4 linked regions of the Saccharomyces cerevisiae S288C genome follow. Each later gene encodes a partner of the first gene's protein in a complex. Each region holds a gene or a part of one and is shown in the gene's direction. Other genes may lie near its edges.

What was found.
Region 2: the proteins of LSM4 (region 1) and LSM1 are in contact, whole or in part, in a crystal structure (PDB 4M75), measured with the Saccharomyces cerevisiae proteins. Residues at the interface, in NP_011037.3 of Saccharomyces cerevisiae: Met1 (codon at 2,815), Leu2 (codon at 2,818), Pro3 (codon at 2,821), Leu6 (codon at 2,830), Glu18 (codon at 2,866), Lys20 (codon at 2,872), Trp35 (codon at 2,917), Met36 (codon at 2,920), Gly73 (codon at 3,031), Thr74 (codon at 3,034), Ile76 (codon at 3,040), Lys77 (codon at 3,043), Phe78 (codon at 3,046), Ile79 (codon at 3,049), Lys80 (codon at 3,052), Leu81 (codon at 3,055), Gln82 (codon at 3,058), Asp83 (codon at 3,061), Ile85 (codon at 3,067), Ile86 (codon at 3,070); in NP_012411.1 of Saccharomyces cerevisiae: Val47 (codon at 2,578), Val50 (codon at 2,587), Asp51 (codon at 2,590), Leu58 (codon at 2,611), Asp60 (codon at 2,617), Arg62 (codon at 2,623), Arg69 (codon at 2,644), Thr70 (codon at 2,647), Phe71 (codon at 2,650), Asp72 (codon at 2,653), Asn76 (codon at 2,665), Ile78 (codon at 2,671), Gln80 (codon at 2,677), Arg99 (codon at 2,734), Gly100 (codon at 2,737), Ile101 (codon at 2,740), Phe102 (codon at 2,743), Met103 (codon at 2,746), Ile104 (codon at 2,749), Arg105 (codon at 2,752), Glu107 (codon at 2,758), Asn108 (codon at 2,761), Ser169 (codon at 2,944).
Region 3: the proteins of LSM4 (region 1) and LSM8 are in contact, whole or in part, in a crystal structure (PDB 4M77), measured with the Saccharomyces cerevisiae proteins. Residues at the interface, in NP_011037.3 of Saccharomyces cerevisiae: Met1 (codon at 2,815), Leu2 (codon at 2,818), Pro3 (codon at 2,821), Leu6 (codon at 2,830), Leu7 (codon at 2,833), Lys20 (codon at 2,872), Trp35 (codon at 2,917), Met36 (codon at 2,920), Gly73 (codon at 3,031), Thr74 (codon at 3,034), Ile76 (codon at 3,040), Lys77 (codon at 3,043), Phe78 (codon at 3,046), Ile79 (codon at 3,049), Lys80 (codon at 3,052), Leu81 (codon at 3,055), Gln82 (codon at 3,058), Asp83 (codon at 3,061), Ile85 (codon at 3,067); in NP_012556.2 of Saccharomyces cerevisiae: Asn28 (codon at 2,744), Gly29 (codon at 2,747), Phe30 (codon at 2,750), Asp31 (codon at 2,753), Asn35 (codon at 2,765), Phe37 (codon at 2,771), Ile50 (codon at 2,810), Lys52 (codon at 2,816), Ala53 (codon at 2,819), Gln54 (codon at 2,822), Leu55 (codon at 2,825), Leu56 (codon at 2,828), Arg57 (codon at 2,831), Ser59 (codon at 2,837), Glu60 (codon at 2,840).
Region 4: the proteins of LSM4 (region 1) and LSM7 are in contact, whole or in part, in a crystal structure (PDB 4M78), measured with the Saccharomyces cerevisiae proteins. Residues at the interface, in NP_011037.3 of Saccharomyces cerevisiae: Glu23 (codon at 2,881), Asn31 (codon at 2,905), Val32 (codon at 2,908), Asp33 (codon at 2,911), Asn37 (codon at 2,923), Leu38 (codon at 2,926), Thr39 (codon at 2,929), Glu45 (codon at 2,947), Leu66 (codon at 3,010), Glu68 (codon at 3,016), Ile69 (codon at 3,019), Tyr70 (codon at 3,022), Ile71 (codon at 3,025), Arg72 (codon at 3,028), Phe75 (codon at 3,037); in NP_014252.2 of Saccharomyces cerevisiae: Ile27 (codon at 2,981), Leu28 (codon at 2,984), Lys32 (codon at 2,996), Tyr33 (codon at 2,999), Arg39 (codon at 3,017), Lys41 (codon at 3,023), Leu58 (codon at 3,074), Met59 (codon at 3,077), Gly96 (codon at 3,188), Thr97 (codon at 3,191), Leu99 (codon at 3,197), Val100 (codon at 3,200), Ser101 (codon at 3,203), Leu102 (codon at 3,206), Ser103 (codon at 3,209), Ser104 (codon at 3,212).

Annotation. Positions count from the first base shown.
Region 1 is NC_001137.3:384,418-388,926, forward strand, and holds LSM4 (U6 snRNA complex subunit LSM4), read left to right. Parts: upstream 1-2,814; coding exon 2,815-3,378; downstream 3,379-4,509. Other genes in the region: SBF complex DNA-binding subunit SWI4, read right to left, coding at 1-1,459; TMN3 (Tmn3p), read right to left, coding at 3,515-4,509. UniProt on the Saccharomyces cerevisiae protein: Component of LSm protein complexes, which are involved in RNA processing and may function in a chaperone-like manner. Component of the cytoplasmic LSM1-LSM7 complex which is involved in mRNA degradation by activating the decapping step.
Region 2 is NC_001142.9:185,558-190,083, reverse strand, and holds LSM1 (Lsm1p), read left to right. Parts: upstream 1-2,439; coding exon 2,440-2,958; downstream 2,959-4,526. Other genes in the region: ALB1 (Alb1p), read right to left, coding at 1-368; DUF5427 domain-containing protein MTC1, read left to right, coding at 644-2,080; tRNA 1-methyladenosine methyltransferase subunit GCD14, read left to right, coding at 3,405-4,526. UniProt on the Saccharomyces cerevisiae protein: Component of the cytoplasmic LSM1-LSM7 complex which is involved in mRNA degradation by activating the decapping step.
Region 3 is NC_001142.9:467,122-471,336, forward strand, and holds LSM8 (U4/U6-U5 snRNP complex subunit LSM8), read left to right. Parts: upstream 1-2,662; coding exon 2,663-2,992; downstream 2,993-4,215. Other genes in the region: TES1 (palmitoyl-CoA hydrolase), read right to left, coding at 111-1,160; REC107 (Rec107p), read right to left, coding at 1,434-2,062, 2,143-2,458; methylthioribulose 1-phosphate dehydratase MDE1, read right to left, coding at 3,109-3,843; BNA1 (3-hydroxyanthranilate 3,4-dioxygenase), read right to left, coding at 4,017-4,215. UniProt on the Saccharomyces cerevisiae protein: Component of the nuclear LSM2-LSM8 complex, which is involved in spliceosome assembly. The LSM2-LSM8 complex plays a role in the biogenesis of the spliceosomal U4/U6-U5 tri-snRNP complex by accelerating PRP24-mediated annealing of U4/U6 di-snRNA.
Region 4 is NC_001146.8:348,134-352,672, forward strand, and holds LSM7 (Sm-like protein LSM7), read left to right. Parts: upstream 1-2,806; coding exon 2,807-2,824; intron 2,825-2,920; coding exon 2,921-3,250; downstream 3,251-4,539. Other genes in the region: RPC31 (DNA-directed RNA polymerase III subunit C31), read right to left, coding at 1-388; PGA2 (Pga2p), read right to left, coding at 1,234-1,623; ALF1 (Alf1p), read right to left, coding at 1,774-2,538; YNL146C-A (uncharacterized protein), read right to left, coding at 3,253-3,447; YNL146W (uncharacterized protein), read left to right, coding at 3,582-3,884; MFA2 (mating pheromone a), read left to right, coding at 4,281-4,397. UniProt on the Saccharomyces cerevisiae protein: Component of LSm protein complexes, which are involved in RNA processing and may function in a chaperone-like manner. Component of the cytoplasmic LSM1-LSM7 complex which is involved in mRNA degradation by activating the decapping step.

The DNA of each region.
Region 1 (4,509 bases):
TTGTTAATATCGTCTGCTTGTATTCTTGATCTGTCATTTTGTTTTCCAACTTGTTTTGAGATGAAGTATTTCCTGCGCTGAACGGTGTCATAGATCGTGAAGACATATTCATACTGTTATCATTTTCATTTGATGAAAATACTTCAATGGAGGAGCCATTGGATGCTACAGTGTTGTTGTTATTGTTGCTGCCGTTACTGTCACAGTACTCATTATGGTGATCATTTGGATTTTGAAAGGATTGCCATAATAAGGGTTGCTTCATTAATTTGAAATGCCTTTGTATTTTTTCTTGCTGGTTGTAAAATTGTTGTTCATTAGATTGATTCAGCTTTTTCCTCCTTTTTTTACTATTGCCATTTGTAATGGAGTCCATCATGGAATGATTGAAGTTATTCGTCAAATATTCATGATGATGTTGTTGTTGTTGTTGGCTTTGCATAGGTCCGTCTGGAACTATGATCAAGTTATTATTATTGCCATTATTATTGTTATTACTGCTGTTAATGACATTGTCGATGTTATGGCTGTAACTATTACTGTCATTATTATTAGGGTTATTCAGAGCAACGTTCTTGTTTTGTAAATTTGTCGGAATTGGAAAAAATTGAAGAGGTTTCTGAGTTGCCGAATAATTATTATTGAAAGAGTTTTCATGAATGGATTTTTGTTGTTGAATAATAGTAGATTGATTGCTGTTGTTACTAATATTATTTATTAAATTGTGTCTTGTGTCATTGTTGAAATTCATCGTGGTGTGGTTATCATTATTGTTCATTATATTCATTGATGAATTTACTTGGAACTGTTGAGGAGTTTGGAAAACAAGGTTTTGTAAAGGACTTGGATTCGGCTGGTTGATCGATGCATTTTTCTTGCCTTTCTTATTCGCAGCTGTAGTTGTAGCCGATGTTGATGAACTACTGTTCTTTTTTCTTGGTGTTTTATTGTAGCTCGATGGAGAAGTTATCTTCGTTCCCGGCGAAGTCTTCCTCAATATACTATTTTTGCTTCTCTTTGGTGGAGGGTTATTTGGATCGAATTGAAAAGTTAAGATGGAGTTGACCACAGGGTCAATTATTTCGTACTTATTGACTAAAAACTTCGCTGAATCCAGTGGGATCCAAGTACCTTGAAACCTACCATACCCACCTTGAACTTTTTCATGTTGCATATCATTTGATTCCTTTTCCAGTATTTTAGTTCTTTTCGTCTTCGAAAATTGAGCTATTTTGAAAACCTGGGTAATATTAATCCAATCATCTTTAGTTCTTCTCATCACTATTTTAGTTTCAAACCCACGTATATAGCATTCGTATACATCGGTTTCTGAATACGTAGCTATTTCAATCACTGGATGGTTTGAATGAGGCGCCAAAAGAACTGATTTTGATATTGGCGTGATGTTCTGGTGATTGGTATTATCTTTTTGGTTTGATATCAAAACATCAAATGGCATGATTTCTCGAATAAATCAACCTTTTAGAACTACGCAAGAGGGACAGAAGGGAAATGAGAAAGAAAGAAGAGTTAATTTTCGGCAAAGAGCAATTATTGTTGACAATATATCAAATAACGTGAAATAATGTACCTTTTTTTCAAAGGGTAAGTGGAGGAAGAATCGTTTGAAAAAGCGACGACCAATGCTAGATGTGATTCTGCTGTAACAACAATTAATAGTAAAAATAACACAATACACTAAAGAGTTTCTTTTTTTATTATCTCGAAAAAAAAAAAAGCTTCCAGTTGAATTTAGCAGCAAATATTAGTCAATTAGTTGATATGCTAAACCAATGCTAAAGGATGGCAATAACTATAATATCTTTTGTGCGTTTTTCACGTTGACGTGCTTCTTAGTCCTTGTTCCTCTTTTTTTTTTGTTAGGTTAACCATTTATTTCCTAAACGGGAAATAAGCAGGCGGGGAGCTGAATATAATTAACTTTCGCGTCATGGTTAGTGACGCGTCACTTCAAACGCGGGTAACAAAATCAAGTTGTTTTTAGCCGCCGAAGGTAATTGTATCCATAATGAAGGCTAGATTAAACCAATAATTTGTAGTGACAAAATTTATAGTCAGTAGCAGGTTCTCTTTAAATTGAGAGATTTCGACAGCCTTTTACTAGATGTCTAGTTTAGTAAAACTAATTTTCGTATGCTGCTAAACGACCTAAGATCCGCAGTCACCTATCGTTTAAAGTACGCAGTCACAATGCGGTTGAAATGTAATGTACTTATATTACCTCCTTCTTAAGTAACATTTCATTTTTTCCGCCACCGTACACAGAGTAATTGCTTCGTTCGTTATCTACTTGTACTGAAGTCCCTCTAAACCTACTGCCTTTTATTTTTAGGCTCTAAAATAACCATGGACAACGTGAATTGGGTAGCATCTTTTTTTTAATAGATAGTTTATTATGTATAACAATAATTTAAAGATATTCATAGTGATAAGTAATTTTAAATGAGTTTAAAGTACTACTTTTCCTTTACCGCCAGTTTCCTGTACTATGAAAAAGGCAAATTCCGCATTGTAGCCGCCCACACGCATTTTGATCATCAATTACGAAATTTGCCGCACACGTGTCACGTGATAAGCACTCTTACTATCATGTTTTACGGAGTAGCAATGATGTTCAATTATTGCAGCTTTCTTTCGTGAAATCGTAGTATCATAGACCTTCCTAATGATGGAAGCGGTAAAGAAGGAAATCGTAAAAGTAAATTAACGAAGTAGTATTAGTAAAACAGAGTTGAAAAACTGATAAATCTTCAACTCGAACTGAAAAGAAACACAATAGAATATTTTTTCTCAATGCTACCTTTATATCTTTTAACAAATGCGAAGGGACAACAAATGCAAATAGAATTGAAAAACGGTGAAATTATACAAGGGATATTGACCAACGTAGATAACTGGATGAACCTTACTTTATCTAATGTAACCGAATATAGTGAAGAAAGCGCAATTAATTCAGAAGACAATGCTGAGAGCAGTAAAGCCGTAAAATTGAACGAAATTTATATTAGAGGGACTTTTATCAAGTTTATCAAATTGCAAGATAATATAATTGACAAGGTCAAGCAGCAAATTAACTCCAACAATAACTCTAATAGTAACGGCCCTGGGCATAAAAGATACTACAACAATAGGGATTCAAACAACAATAGAGGTAACTACAACAGAAGAAATAATAATAACGGCAACAGCAACCGCCGTCCATACTCTCAAAACCGTCAATACAACAACAGCAACAGCAGTAACATTAACAACAGTATCAACAGTATCAATAGCAACAACCAAAATATGAACAATGGTTTAGGTGGGTCCGTCCAACATCATTTTAACAGCTCTTCTCCACAAAAGGTCGAATTTTAAACAAATTTTGTATTATAATAATTATGTACATATATAAATATATTGGTACATATGTACTGTGTGTGTATGTGAATGTTGATTACCGTTTTCTTTAAAAAAAGCTTTTCTTCTTTTTATTACCGAGCTTTCCTTTAGTTTACAGGTTGACTTTCTGGTGGTATATTTTATTTATAAACCATGAAGCCGTTAAGTAACTTAATGCGCCAAGCCCTAAACTGCACATTACGTTGAAGATTAAACTATAACAAATGGAAATTAAGATAGATGAAAACCCATGGATGTTTAGCACTGCGAAAATGTAATATAGCGAATACAATTCCATATATACACCACCGCTAAATCCCATTTCAAAGCACTTCCATCTCCAATTGTTGCGAACCACCTTATCTTCGAAGCAAAATCTCATTAATAAATAACTTCCAATAATTGATATCTCCATAGTTAACACGCATAATAGTATGATACTCAAAAAAAGGAATCCGTAAAAATAATAAAATGTAGTTTTCTCCAACCAGAGAGATTTGTAAACGTATTGCATTTCCACGTAAATTACTAACAAGGGGAAAATACCACATAAATAAATGCCGCAGTAAACCAACGGGTTGAACTTGGCTCGTGATTTAGGTACAAATAATCCATTGCCATCGCTATTGCTTTCATCTTTAGTAATTCCACTCAACCAATATTGAGGCAAAGGTATATTATTAGCTACAATACCACCAAACAAGCTGAGTGGTATACAGACGATGAAATAAATGCTCATGAAAAACACAATAGTCTTGAATGGTAATGCACTTGTAGAATCATGTGCCCAAACAATACTATTTAATAAAAATGTGCTCACCATTACAATGCCAGGTAAGCTGGACCCACAAAGTATCGTAAAAATGGGACTAAACTTCTTGTAGTCTTTGAGGTATCTGTTATCGTCAAGGTAATTGGCCTTGGTTCTTTTCGTTTTCGTTACCATACTGAGTCTTGTCCCTACGAATGATGCCATGAATGCTCCAAGTACGAAAAATAAAATGGCCATAGTTAGCACACTGTTTCTTACATTATGCAATTTGTTCATTGAACATGATATCGTTAAGGATCCAATTATGGTAAATAAAAATTGCACCCCAAATGAGA
Region 2 (4,526 bases), on another chromosome or scaffold:
ATATCCATTTCGTCTTCTAGCTTAGCGCTTGCGTCAACCAATAATTTTCTCTGTGTAGCATATTTTAAGTTTCTCTCGATTTTCTTAGCTCTCTTTTTGGAAAGTGTCCTCGTGGTGATGGAGGCCGGAGAAGATGAAGCATTTTGTAATGTCACAGCAGTGGAATTCTGACTTTCGTTCTTCTTGTTTTGGAAGTATAGGTCCAACGCTACTGATTTTATTTCCCCAGATTTCGAATTTACGCTGGATCTAGCTGGCTTCAAGAGACCAGCTCTTTCTCTTTGAGCTCTTTTCTTATTTAAAGAGTGCACCTTGTGGTGCAAATTTGAAGTCAGCTTAGGTCTGTTGATGGAGTTTTTAGAAGGCATTATGGGTTGGCTGTGCTAGTCTCTTCGGCAAGCACCTCATCGACTAATGCCGCCATAAGTTATAACCATATATTAATATTGATACTCTCTATGAAAATTTTAGCGAAAAAAAATTTTGCGATGAGATCATTCCAAACGGATTGACGCGTGGAAGAAACCGGCGATTTTCTGGTTTCTGGTTCTTTGATGGAAGTTGGACGAGACGGTGAAGAATAGAACAAGGGACAGGTTAACTAGACTCAATCGATTAAAAACATACATACTACCAGGGCAAAATGTCTGAAAATAAGAACTCTGAGGCTGAAGACGTATTTGAATTTTTAGATTCTTTGCCAGAAGCAAAGAATGGCGGGAAAATGGTTAATACTGACGTAAAGGGTAGCCAAGAAGGCGTTAAGGGAGGTTCTAATTCTGTGGCGGGCAAGACCGGGAATGATGGAAAGAAAGGTGACGATGATATCTTTGAATTCTTAGAAGAGTTGGAGAAGAGTAACTTAAGCTTAACTGACAAGAAAGGGGTTGAAAAGAAGGCTCCCAGTGAATCAGTTAATAATAAAGCACAAGACGAAAAAGTAGAAGAATCAAAAGAAAACAAAAATTCCGAGCAGGACGCTCACGGAAAGGAAAAGGAACCACAGCAGCAGGAGAAAGAAGAAGAAGAGGAGGAAGAAGAAGAAGAAGAAGAGGAGGAGGAGGAGACCCCATTGCATGACCCAATTGCTTCTATTTCAAACTGGTGGTCCTCCTCTGGATCCGCAAAGGTATCGAGTATTTGGAATAAAACTGCAGAACAAGCATCCCAGATCAAAAACCGACTTGCCCAAGAACAGCTTGATTTGACTTCAAAGATAAACACGAGCACGATTACTGAAATAGCCAGAAACTTACAGAAAATCGTTGTTGGTGAGACTGAAGAGGTGCTGCGAATTCATCTAGTCCATGATTTGGTTAACTATCCCTCATTACAATACAATATTGAAAGCAAGTTTGATCAAGTTCTAAGCTCACAAGTTGAGGGAGGAATCAGAATATTTGTAGATGAATGGGGCCATCCTAACAATAATGGAATTACACCTGTGGAAAAAAAGCCTTCAGTTGCAGACGGTGAGTTAGGCAACTCTAAAAAAAAATTACAGTTTAATCTATTCGACGGCAAGGTAACAGACGGTGAGAAACTGGCATTTGCAAACCTGGAAAATGCAGTCAAACTCTTCAATACTGCACATGAGGAATACCAGAAACAACAGAAAGAGGCTGATGCCACTCCAGATGACGATAGGAGTTCTATTAGCAGTAACAGCAATAAAATCAGTGATTTATTCATATCCATCTTACCAATTGCCATTCCGCAAAAACAAAAAGATGCCGACGGTGACTTTCAAGTGACCGACTCCAATACGCCAGGCAATTTCAATTTCACCCTTGTATTGAAAGACATAACTAACGATATTACCACCATAACAAGATCACAAGGATTCCCTGTCAAATGGGTCAATTGGCTAGAAGGATCCGTGGAGAAAACAGGATCAACAGCAAGTGAGGAGAGGAATAAGTCATACGATCAAAAGAAACAAAAAGAAAGTGAAGACGAAGACGAAGACGATGAGATCATTGATCCTAGTGAATGGGTAAAGGAATGGATCGAAGATGGATTAAGCTTGTCATTTGGGGTCATGGCACAGAATTATGTCATTGACCGTATGGGTCTTTGATACACTTAATACATAACATTTATAGCGTAACGATGATGTATAAAGTTACAAGCGCAGAGGAGTGGGTTCAAATTCGGCCGACTTGTTACCCGCGTTCGTTGAATAATGGAAAATATGAAAAAAATAGAGGAAGTCGTGAATATACAACGGTGTTCAGCACCTGTATTTCAATCTAGGGGAAGCCTGTATGACCAAGGGCTGATTAAATATTAGTGAAGATACAAGTAACACAGTTTAGTTATATTTTCTTTTCCTTTTCAACAGGATTGCCAACGCTGCAGTAGAGTTATACCAACATTTGCTCCGCTTTCAAAACCTATAAAAGAAAGCAGCCCTCGAATCGAATTAATTCACCAAAAATGTCTGCAAATAGCAAGGACAGAAATCAGTCCAATCAGGATGCGAAGCGACAACAGCAGAATTTCCCAAAGAAGATTTCAGAAGGTGAGGCCGATTTATATCTCGACCAGTATAACTTCACTACCACCGCTGCTATTGTAAGCTCAGTAGACCGTAAAATCTTCGTTCTTTTGCGTGATGGAAGAATGCTATTCGGTGTACTAAGAACCTTTGACCAATATGCAAATTTGATACTTCAAGATTGCGTGGAGAGAATATATTTTAGCGAAGAAAACAAATACGCTGAAGAAGACCGCGGCATATTCATGATTCGTGGTGAAAATGTTGTCATGTTAGGCGAAGTAGACATCGATAAAGAAGATCAACCCCTTGAGGCCATGGAACGCATACCATTTAAGGAGGCTTGGCTGACCAAGCAAAAAAATGATGAGAAAAGGTTTAAAGAGGAAACCCACAAAGGTAAAAAAATGGCCCGCCATGGTATCGTTTACGATTTCCATAAATCTGACATGTACTAAGAAAGAAAAACACAATACTACCAACATATATCCTGGAGTAAACTCTCAAAAATTTCCACATTCAGTTTTACCTATCCGTACACTTAATCAACTGCCTTTGGAGATGGAACAATAAAAAAAATGCAAGAGAGGAGGCCGTATTTGTATATAAATTAATATATTTAAATGTAAAATATATACAGTACTTGAGTTTTTTTATGAAGTAACGTATTTGCGCAGCATTCTTTTTCCTCTTACACTTCGTTATAACATTAACACTCATGCTATTGATACTTTTTCTTTATTATTATCTATAAAATTTTTTCGCTTTTTGTTTATGCCATGCCGTTAGCAACGAATTTTTTTCCATGCTCATCACTTTTAAAACTGTTTAAAGTATATAGAAAATATATGTGAATAAGATCGGGGTGGGACTATCAGGTAGCTAAGATTACGCAGATTTAGAAATGTCAACAAATTGTTTTTCCGGTTACAAAGACCTCATCAAGGAAGGCGATTTAACTCTAATATGGGTTTCTAGAGATAACATCAAACCGGTAAGGATGCATTCCGAAGAGGTATTCAATACTCGTTATGGTTCATTTCCTCATAAGGATATCATAGGTAAACCTTATGGTTCTCAAATTGCTATAAGAACAAAGGGCTCAAATAAGTTTGCATTCGTCCATGTTCTGCAACCAACTCCTGAATTGTGGACTTTGTCGTTACCACACAGAACTCAAATTGTATATACGCCCGACTCTTCCTACATCATGCAAAGGTTGAATTGTAGCCCTCACAGCAGAGTGATCGAGGCAGGTACAGGCTCAGGATCATTTTCGCACGCTTTTGCAAGATCTGTAGGTCATCTTTTTAGTTTTGAATTTCATCACATAAGATACGAACAAGCATTAGAGGAATTCAAAGAGCATGGACTTATTGATGATAACGTTACGATTACACATCGGGATGTTTGCCAAGGTGGATTTCTTATAAAGAAGGGAGACACTACATCTTACGAATTTGGCAATAATGAAACCGCCGCTTCATTGAATGCAAATGTAGTGTTTTTAGATCTGCCGGCTCCCTGGGATGCTATACCTCATCTGGATTCTGTTATTTCCGTAGACGAAAAGGTCGGATTGTGTTGCTTCTCCCCATGCATTGAGCAAGTAGACAAAACATTGGATGTATTAGAGAAATATGGCTGGACGGATGTTGAAATGGTGGAAATTCAAGGTAGACAGTACGAAAGTCGAAGACAAATGGTCAGATCACTCAATGATGCCCTGGAAAGGTTGAGAGATATTAAGAGGCACAAACTCCAGGGTGTAGAAAGACGCAAGCGGATGTTTAACAATACAATAGATTCTAACGATGAAAAAGTTGGAAAAAGAAACGAGGATGGCGTACCATTAACAGAAAAGGCCAAATTTAATCCTTTTGGCAAAGGTTCTCGAATCAAGGAAGGTGATAGTAATTATAAATGGAAGGAGGTCACAAAGATGGAAGCTGAGATCAAATCCCATACCTCATATTTGACTTTTGCATTTAAAGTTGTGAATAGATCAAGAGATGATGAAAAAGTT
Region 3 (4,215 bases), on another chromosome or scaffold:
GGAAAAAGGTATGATACCCGCTCGTGAAAGGTGATGTAATAATAAATAGGATATTATTATATAATATAAGAATATATATGTATGTGTTTATACGTGGGAGGGAATTGTCCTCAGAACTTGGCTCGAATGTCTCGTTCTGACCCGTAGACAACGTAGCCCTCCTGAGAGACGCTTGCCATGATGCGTCCCGACTGTGTGTCGAAATACTTGCCCTGTACGAGGTGCTTGTCCCAGTGGGACCTGGGATTCGAAATCTTAAGATAGATCCAATTGTTCACATGAGGCAACTGGTGAAAGTAAATCGTGTGGTCGAGCGAGACACTGAAACTGTGGCAGTACAAAGGCAGGTTGTGGAAGTACGGGATCGTGAGTAGGAGGTAGGAATCGGACAGATACGCAAAGGCCACGTAGTTGTAGCGAGCGTCGTTCTCAGGAGTAATGCTCTTCGGGATCCTGTACGGATGATGCTTGTGTAAAGAAGACTCGTCGCCCGCGTGCTCCACGGTAGTGATGGGAGGTCTCACTTTGACGAAATAATCCAGCTCGTCGGTGTGTCTTGCCGAGTAGAACATGTCCTTGGGGAATTGGTACTCCATGACTCCGTATTGAAACGCATCCACATACTTGCTCATCGAGGTTGCGTCTTGGAACCTGTCGGACAATGAGGCATACCTGCTCAATTTCTGTGGGTCCAGAACTTCTTTCTGGAAAAGCGAAGTGGCCTCTTCATAACGATGAGGGTCTGGCTGCTTACCTTGCAGGCCTGGAATCGTCTCCCAGTGCTGCAAGGAGTCGTGCTCCTTGGACCGTTGCACGGCAAATAAGATCATCGACGTAAATATCAACTTGTCGTGCTGATAAGCACTAACCTGCTTATGGATGAAATTTCTACCGTTTCTCAGATTCTGCACATGGTACGTGATCTTGGTCCGCGGATCACCACCCTTGATGAAATACGAATGTAGCGATGTGGGGAAGAAGTTCAATGGCACAGTATGCAATGACGCCAGCAGCGATTGTGATACCAGCGTTCCACCAAAAGTGCCCTTAGACCCTACGGGCGCGGCAGGCAGATACTTTGTGACAAAACTGGTAGGCGAAAGAGGAACCAGTTCCAATATTTTCTCTAGGTTGGACATGGCCATTTTGGAAGCACTCATTTTTATGCAATCTTGTCTTATCTTGTCTTGCTCATGGTGGATACTGAATTGAAACCCTTTTCTGGTTTATATCCAACTGGCGTGGTTTTTCATTGTAGGATGAGGCTCGGTGTTTATGCCGTCTCTTCCGAGGATGCAATCAAAGGCTCTCTCCTTTGTTGGGGTAGTAGCAAGTCCAATAAGCAACGCTTGTTTGTTGATTGGGCCGATTTACATAGCCTATACACTGCTGTTACATATGCCTGTGTAGAATGAAAAAGCAGGACGCCCGTTTCACAGCTCAGATTCCAGAGTGTCGGGTCTTAGTTCCTCCCAGGGAATAATGGTCCTGGCCGCACGCTTCAGCCGATGGCTAGCGTCATCATTGTCTTCGCTATTGTGGTTTTGGCTGGTGGATAGGGTTGGGGAGCTGGATCTTCTGCGTTTCATGGACCTTGTGACCATCATTCTTGGTGGCGGCACGGACTTCTTACGCTGCTTATCGTGGGCTTCGTCCATATCGTGCAGGAGTGTGGTGCCATTCAGAGACACATCCGGGCGATCGTAGGCGTGATCTGCCTTTTCTCGAAACGCCATCTCTAGAGCAGTCTGGCGGGTTTGTAGACTGTGCATGTCTTTGGATAGAGACAGGAGCACTTTATGCACGTCCTCCAGTTGGCTGCCGACGTTGAAGAGCATCTCCTGGGTGCACCTCATCGACTTTTCCGTCTCATGCTGCTTGTTAGTTACGTGTCGCGTTATCTTGGAATTATACCTGCTTATTTCTTCGACTAATACCTGCCTGTAGCTGGAATCCGACTTTGTCTTCTTCTCGTCGCCTTTCGATAACATTGCTGTTGACACTTTGTCCAGTTGGTTTTCAATCTGGGAAGCCAAATCCTTTATTAAGGTTTTCACGTTTCCTATACTACAGTTGTTAGTAAATGTGTTTTGGAAGAAAATGAATAAAAAACTTGAGGGTATGCACTGTGTTGGTACGAACCGTTCGTAGCAGCATCTTGTTCCAGTAGCTGGTTAAACTTGTTTAGCGATTTACATAATGTCTTAGAATTTTCATTTAAAACTTTAATTAGCTTGTCAGAGTTTTCCCTCAGCTCCATACTCTCCAATTCCAGTTTACCTGCCCATTCCAGTATCTGCTTGTCCGATTCCTCTAAAGCGCCTGCATTCGCTACTTTCCCACTGTGGGAGAATATAGATCTGAACGGTGATGATGTTTCTGTAATCATCAACGAGTGTTCAGAATTAGCCTCTGAAACATCTGTAGATATCTCGTCTGTTCTACCTCTAGCGACCATTTTACTAAATGTTTCTACACGTCTGCAGTATCCTTGTTTTGCTTGTTTTCCTTCTTTCTGTTCTTGTTGATTTTCCCTTTAAGTCCTGAAAATACTATCATGGCGTAAAGGGAAAAAAAAAAACTAATCTTACGTGGTTCTTATAAGATGGACCAGCAAGCTGCATACAGTACACCATACAAGAAGAACACACTATCGTGCACCATGTCAGCCACCTTGAAAGACTACTTAAATAAAAGAGTTGTTATAATCAAAGTTGACGGCGAATGCCTCATAGCAAGCCTAAACGGCTTCGACAAAAATACTAATCTATTCATAACCAATGTTTTCAACCGCATAAGCAAGGAATTCATCTGCAAGGCACAGTTACTTCGAGGCAGCGAGATTGCTCTTGTTGGCCTCATAGATGCAGAAAATGATGACAGTCTAGCTCCTATAGACGAAAAGAAGGTCCCAATGCTAAAGGACACCAAGAATAAAATCGAAAATGAGCATGTAATATGGGAAAAAGTGTACGAATCAAAGACAAAATAATATAGTTGCAATAATAGTAATAATAATAATAATAATAATAATAATAATAATAATAATAATAATAATACCATGTATAGAAGTATATAAATCATACAATAAATTTAAGCATTAACCCGTCACGGACTGGCCATCTTCAGATGCTTCTTCTCTTCGCCAATGCCACAGTCGGGAGGAATCCCCATTTGGTACATCTTTATGGCCAGCTCCATCAAATAATCGATGGCTTCGTTGAAAATTTTGGCCTTATCGATTGTCGGACCCCAAACAAAAATGCCATGTCTCCTCACAATTACGGCGCATGTGTCTGGATAATCTTTAAAAGTCTTGTGCAAGTCATCGATCAACTCGTCCTCATGCGCCATGTTTTCAATGATGGGAATCTTCAGCGTATCAAAAAACGATAGCGCCATGGGTTTCTTGGTCACAGGGTCCACCTTTCCGCTTGGAATTGCTTTGATTTGTTCGATGTTAGCAATCCTGAACTCATCGCCAAATAGCAAGGAGCATATCACAGCATTTTGGGAGTGTGTATGTATTATAGCACCTGCATTTTTCTTTTGGTAGCACGCTAAGAACAATGGAGTACATGCGCTTGGCTTGTAAAGCTTGGGAGAGCGCAAATACTCTAATGTCTGAGCGTCCATGACAAACAAATCCTCAGGTATCATCTTCTCCTTCTGCACCCCAGATGGGGCGAGATAATAATAATTCGTGTTAGGATCTTTTATTGAAATCCCACCTCCAGTTCCGGTGCACCAATTATTATGAAAAAACTGCTTGCATAGCGTGCAAATGAGATTTGCTGGATGGCACGGATCATCTGAATGTATCAGAACATCTTGTGAAGACATAGTCGTTCACTGGCTCCCCTTGTTAGTTCAGTGCTTAAAAACGTTACATATCTTGATGAACAGCTAGCTGCTTTGATCAAGAGAAAAAAAAAAAAAATTGGCACCGCATCTTAGTGCCGCAATCTTACGTAACAAGAGAGCTATAAAAGTACAACTAACAACTCTTCTAATACTTAATTAGATTGAGGGCGTGCGTAGTTTAACGTCTTGCAATGGAAACATGTCCTCTTTTCGACATCATTTTCAAAATCTAAAATGGCTTCTTTCACTTGGGTACCTAAGTCTAACATTTGCAGTTCACTCTCGTGGACCACTTGGCGACAATGAGAACAGTACCACCTTATCTTATCGTTTTCTCCCCCAGGCCTATCT
Region 4 (4,539 bases), on another chromosome or scaffold:
TCAAATTATACGGATGATCATCAATAGAAATACCTATTTTCCTTTTTTTCAAATATTTATCGGAATATCTTTCAATGCCATCATTAGTATCGTCTTCGTCTAGGATTATGTTGGGTTTGCGTTTACCGCTCTTGCTGTTTTCCTGTTGATCTATTATCAAGCTCATTGATCCGGTATAAAATGGGCCATCTTTAACAGTCTTTCCAAAATTGATGTACTTTACTGCTAAAGATCTTTCCTTATTTGTTATAGGACCATTGATGGGCAATGGGATGGATGGAAATTCCGTAATATGATTTTTGCCTACATCTCCATAACCTAATCCGAAGGGTAGATTGCTCATATAGTTGCTCCCGCCACCTCTACTGCCGCCCCTATAAGAACTCATGTTTGTTCGGGGTATATATGCTCGGTACTATCAAGTTACAATATCTTTCTGTCGTGTTGTTTTCTATAGGTTGCTGCGATGAGGAAACTATTTTCTTCTTTGAGATTTTTTCAAATTTCTCTTCATTTTTCATGCGGCCGCACAAGAGTTGAAACCACTGACGAAAGCAATTTCAGTTCATTGAGTTACACCTAGCGAGGCACTTCTTTGTGGAATGGTAGCCATTGTATTGAGATTTTTCTTGTCGACCATCAGCCTTTTTCTTCATAAGAGAAAAGAAGATCTCGTTCATGACTGCTAATTACTTTGAACGATCACCTCTGCAATGTGACATTTGTTCGAAAGCCGCCCATTAGTATTGAAAATAATTTATATTTTCAATTGGCTAGACTACGAAATTTGGACAAGCCATTGCTGCGTAATCCTTTCTCTTCTACGTCACAGTACATCTCTTTAAACCTTTTCGTTTCTCGGCTGTTTAAGGAAAGTATCGTCTTGCCGTATCTACATAAATCAATTCTTACCCATTTTCTTTTGCATTCTAGCCGTTAATTCACGGCTTAGTCGTTTGATATCGTGTTTGAATTGTGAATTGCATCATTCATGCGGAATGGGAATCATCGCAGTCGTTATCCGTCTCACAAACGTCGGCATTTGCTGACTATTAAGGCGACACGTAACCTACAAACTCAATTTGAGACGCAAACGCAAGTTGATTAGACGTTGAGAATGATGCAAGTAGCAACATCGGTAATGGTTAGACTATTTTATCAGAAAACTATAGAAAAACTAAAAACAAAACAATGTCACAATGACAAAGAGGAACCCATACATACACAGAGAGCCTATTCTTCCAGTAGTTCCTCAATATCAGCATCACTATCTGGGTCCAACCCTTGGTTTCTTCTCTTAGCCTCTTCCAAAGCGTTTTCAAACAACTCCTGTTGTCTTTTAACTCTTCTTCTAGTTTTCTTACCCCAACCGAAAGAAGTTGTTTCTGCTGTTGCAGCATCATCTGGCTTGTCGATCAGGTCTTTTGATCTCTTTTCCTCTTTGTCTCGTTTGTCCTTTTCCACTTGGGCAGCCAACTGCTTCTTCGCCAATTCCCTGGATGCGATATTTCTTAAGAGTAAATAACCACCTACAATTATCACCAATCTTATAAAGTGCTTGTAGTCATAGTTGACTAGTTTTGCCATCCAGGTATCCACCCATGTTTCCGCTACTTCAGACATCTCTTTCAATTACTCGGCAGTTTTTCTCTTCATAACATCTTTTCCTCATACAAACCGCCGAGTGCACATAAATACAACTACAAATAATAATATGTTGACATCGGATGGAGATCACTAACTAAACCGCCACCGCGCTAATTCTGCACAAATTCAAATTTCATCATCGCTCTCCACGTCATCATGGACGTCTTCCACCTCGGCGGATTCTTCGTCTTTTGATAGAATTTCCACAGCCCGCGGACGCACAAACGATCCGTGACCCGGCGCCACAGGCCCAAACAGTGTTACCCCATTTATGCGCCCATCGTTTTTGCCTGCGGCTTCCGGGAATTCCACACCGCACCATGTGCCCATCACGTCCAACGGTAGTGGTCCTACGTACCGTAAAATGGCCTCACGTGGAGCGCTCCCGTCTACTGTGACACGACAGTGGCGGCCGATAGCCGCCGTTAATTGCTCTCGGGCATATGCTTCGTCCTGCTTTGCCAGCGCAGCGCGCTGGCTCTGCTGTGCAGCATTAAACCTACCATAGCCGTGAGCCATCTTCCATCGTAATACGGATTGATCCCTTCGCAAATAATCCTCCTCGCTAATTACTTCCATTGAGGGGATTCCTTCCGCTTGCGTGGCCAGCTGGTTAGAGATTGATTGGGCATTAGAGTCTGTAACAACCACAATAAGCTCCTCCTCTCCTTTTAGGAAGTTGGCATCTTCATCCTCATTTGAATAGGCACCCCCCTTTTTAGTACTATATATCTCCTTGTTGTCGTACTGTCTTTTCACAACTATTTCCATATCCTCTGGTTCCACTCCGGTAACATGGTACAATCGGTCCTTGAACTGCCTTAATTTAAGCGAATTTGGTAATTCCTTTTCTGTACGGACCAATTCACTCTCTATGACAACTCTAACCATAGTTTTGCCATGTAATTTTTTTTTCTATCTCTTTATTTGAATTCGTTGCTCTATGTTCTTGTCGCTTGTCTTCTTCAACTGCCGTTTCCCTGCGAGCCGGAAAAAAGTACTGTTCTTTCGAACAAAGGCGAAAAAAGCTGTAGCTGAAAACAGACAACTGGGAAACGACAATTAAGAATACGCATGTACGTGTATACTACTACAGTAAAAAAGAAAGTTATTTGAGAGCAGCACTTTGTTTACTACACAGAACATTAACCAAAAAAACATGCATCAGCAACACTCCGTATGTTTCACTTCTTATTTTCTTCCGTGGCAATAACCTTCCTTTTGACTTATTTATACTAACATTATAATAACTATGTTTCCTTTTTGAACTAAGAAATCAGAGAACAAACCACAACAGCAAAGGAAAAAATTCGAAGGCCCTAAAAGAGAAGCTATTCTGGATTTAGCGAAGTATAAAGATTCTAAAATTCGCGTCAAATTAATGGGTGGTAAATTAGTTATAGGTGTCCTAAAAGGCTATGATCAACTGATGAACTTGGTACTTGATGATACAGTAGAATATATGTCTAATCCTGATGATGAAAACAACACTGAACTGATTTCTAAAAACGCAAGAAAGCTAGGTTTGACCGTCATAAGAGGTACTATTTTGGTCTCTTTAAGTTCCGCCGAAGGTTCTGATGTACTATATATGCAAAAATAGGTTTAATAATATAATCTCATATAAACTCCCTTCCTTACAGTTGAAAACAAAATCAAATCACGGTATGGCATTTCTTTACATATTCTCAATACCTGACTGACATAGTATGCGCTACATAGTTTTGTCCTATTTTTTTTACACCGCGATTTGAAGTCTAAAGCCAGAGAATGAGGAAAAACGAAACAAACTGAGATCATTTGTATAAGGGGAGTCACTGTACAGCTGCCAATACCAATTTTCCTTCTGCCAAATCAAAAAAGTATCCGCATACACATACACCCCTCCCTCTACAATCTTAATTATTTACTGATTCCTTTCGTATTTGTCCAGTATGAGCAATACTAAGCATACCACTTCTCATCACATGGAACTCAAAAGGATCATTATCCTTACACTTTTATTCATACTCATAATGTTGATATTTCGAAACTCAGTGTCCTTCAAAATGACATTTCAAGAACTACTGCCACGATTTTACAAAAAGAATTCAAACTCAGTTAGTAATAATAACAGGCCCTCATCTATTTTCTCGGAAAACTTGGTGGATTTTGATGATGTTAACATGGTCGATAAGACCAGACTGTTTATTTTTTTATTTTTCAGTTTCATCATTACTATACCGTTTATGGTATAAATTAGAAAAGTTAAAGCAGCATGTTTTCATTTGAAACAAATACTAATGCAATAATAGGTACACCATCTACTACATAATTAATTGATAGTTTCCTTTTCCGTTAAGTGCATGCATAGGACGCCCATAATTTTTTAAGTTAAAAAAGCATGTATTTACCTATTCGGGAAATTTACATGACATGGATGCCATAAGGAACGAAAATGAAACATGCATGTCAGAGGAAAAAGAACAAAGCGAGAGGAAAAAGCTGTTGCATTACCACGTAATTTTGTATATAAATATCTGATAAATAACCATTTTATTTCCATCCACTTCTTCTGTCGTTCATCCGTTCATTGACATCACTAGAGACACCAGCGAGCTATCATCTTCATACAACAATAACTACCAACCTTAATGCAACCGATCACCACTGCTTCCACACAAGCCACTCAGAAGGATAAATCCTCTGAAAAGAAAGACAACTATATAATCAAGGGCCTCTTCTGGGATCCCGCCTGTGTTATCGCTTAATTTTTGACGACAACCAAGAGGTCAAATCAATATCTACCCTTTCATTTATTACGTGTTGCTGGCAAACTAATTTATTCCAATTCTCTCATCATTAGCTCACCCTTTCCATACTTTTTCATACTTTTATACATATGTATTTGTA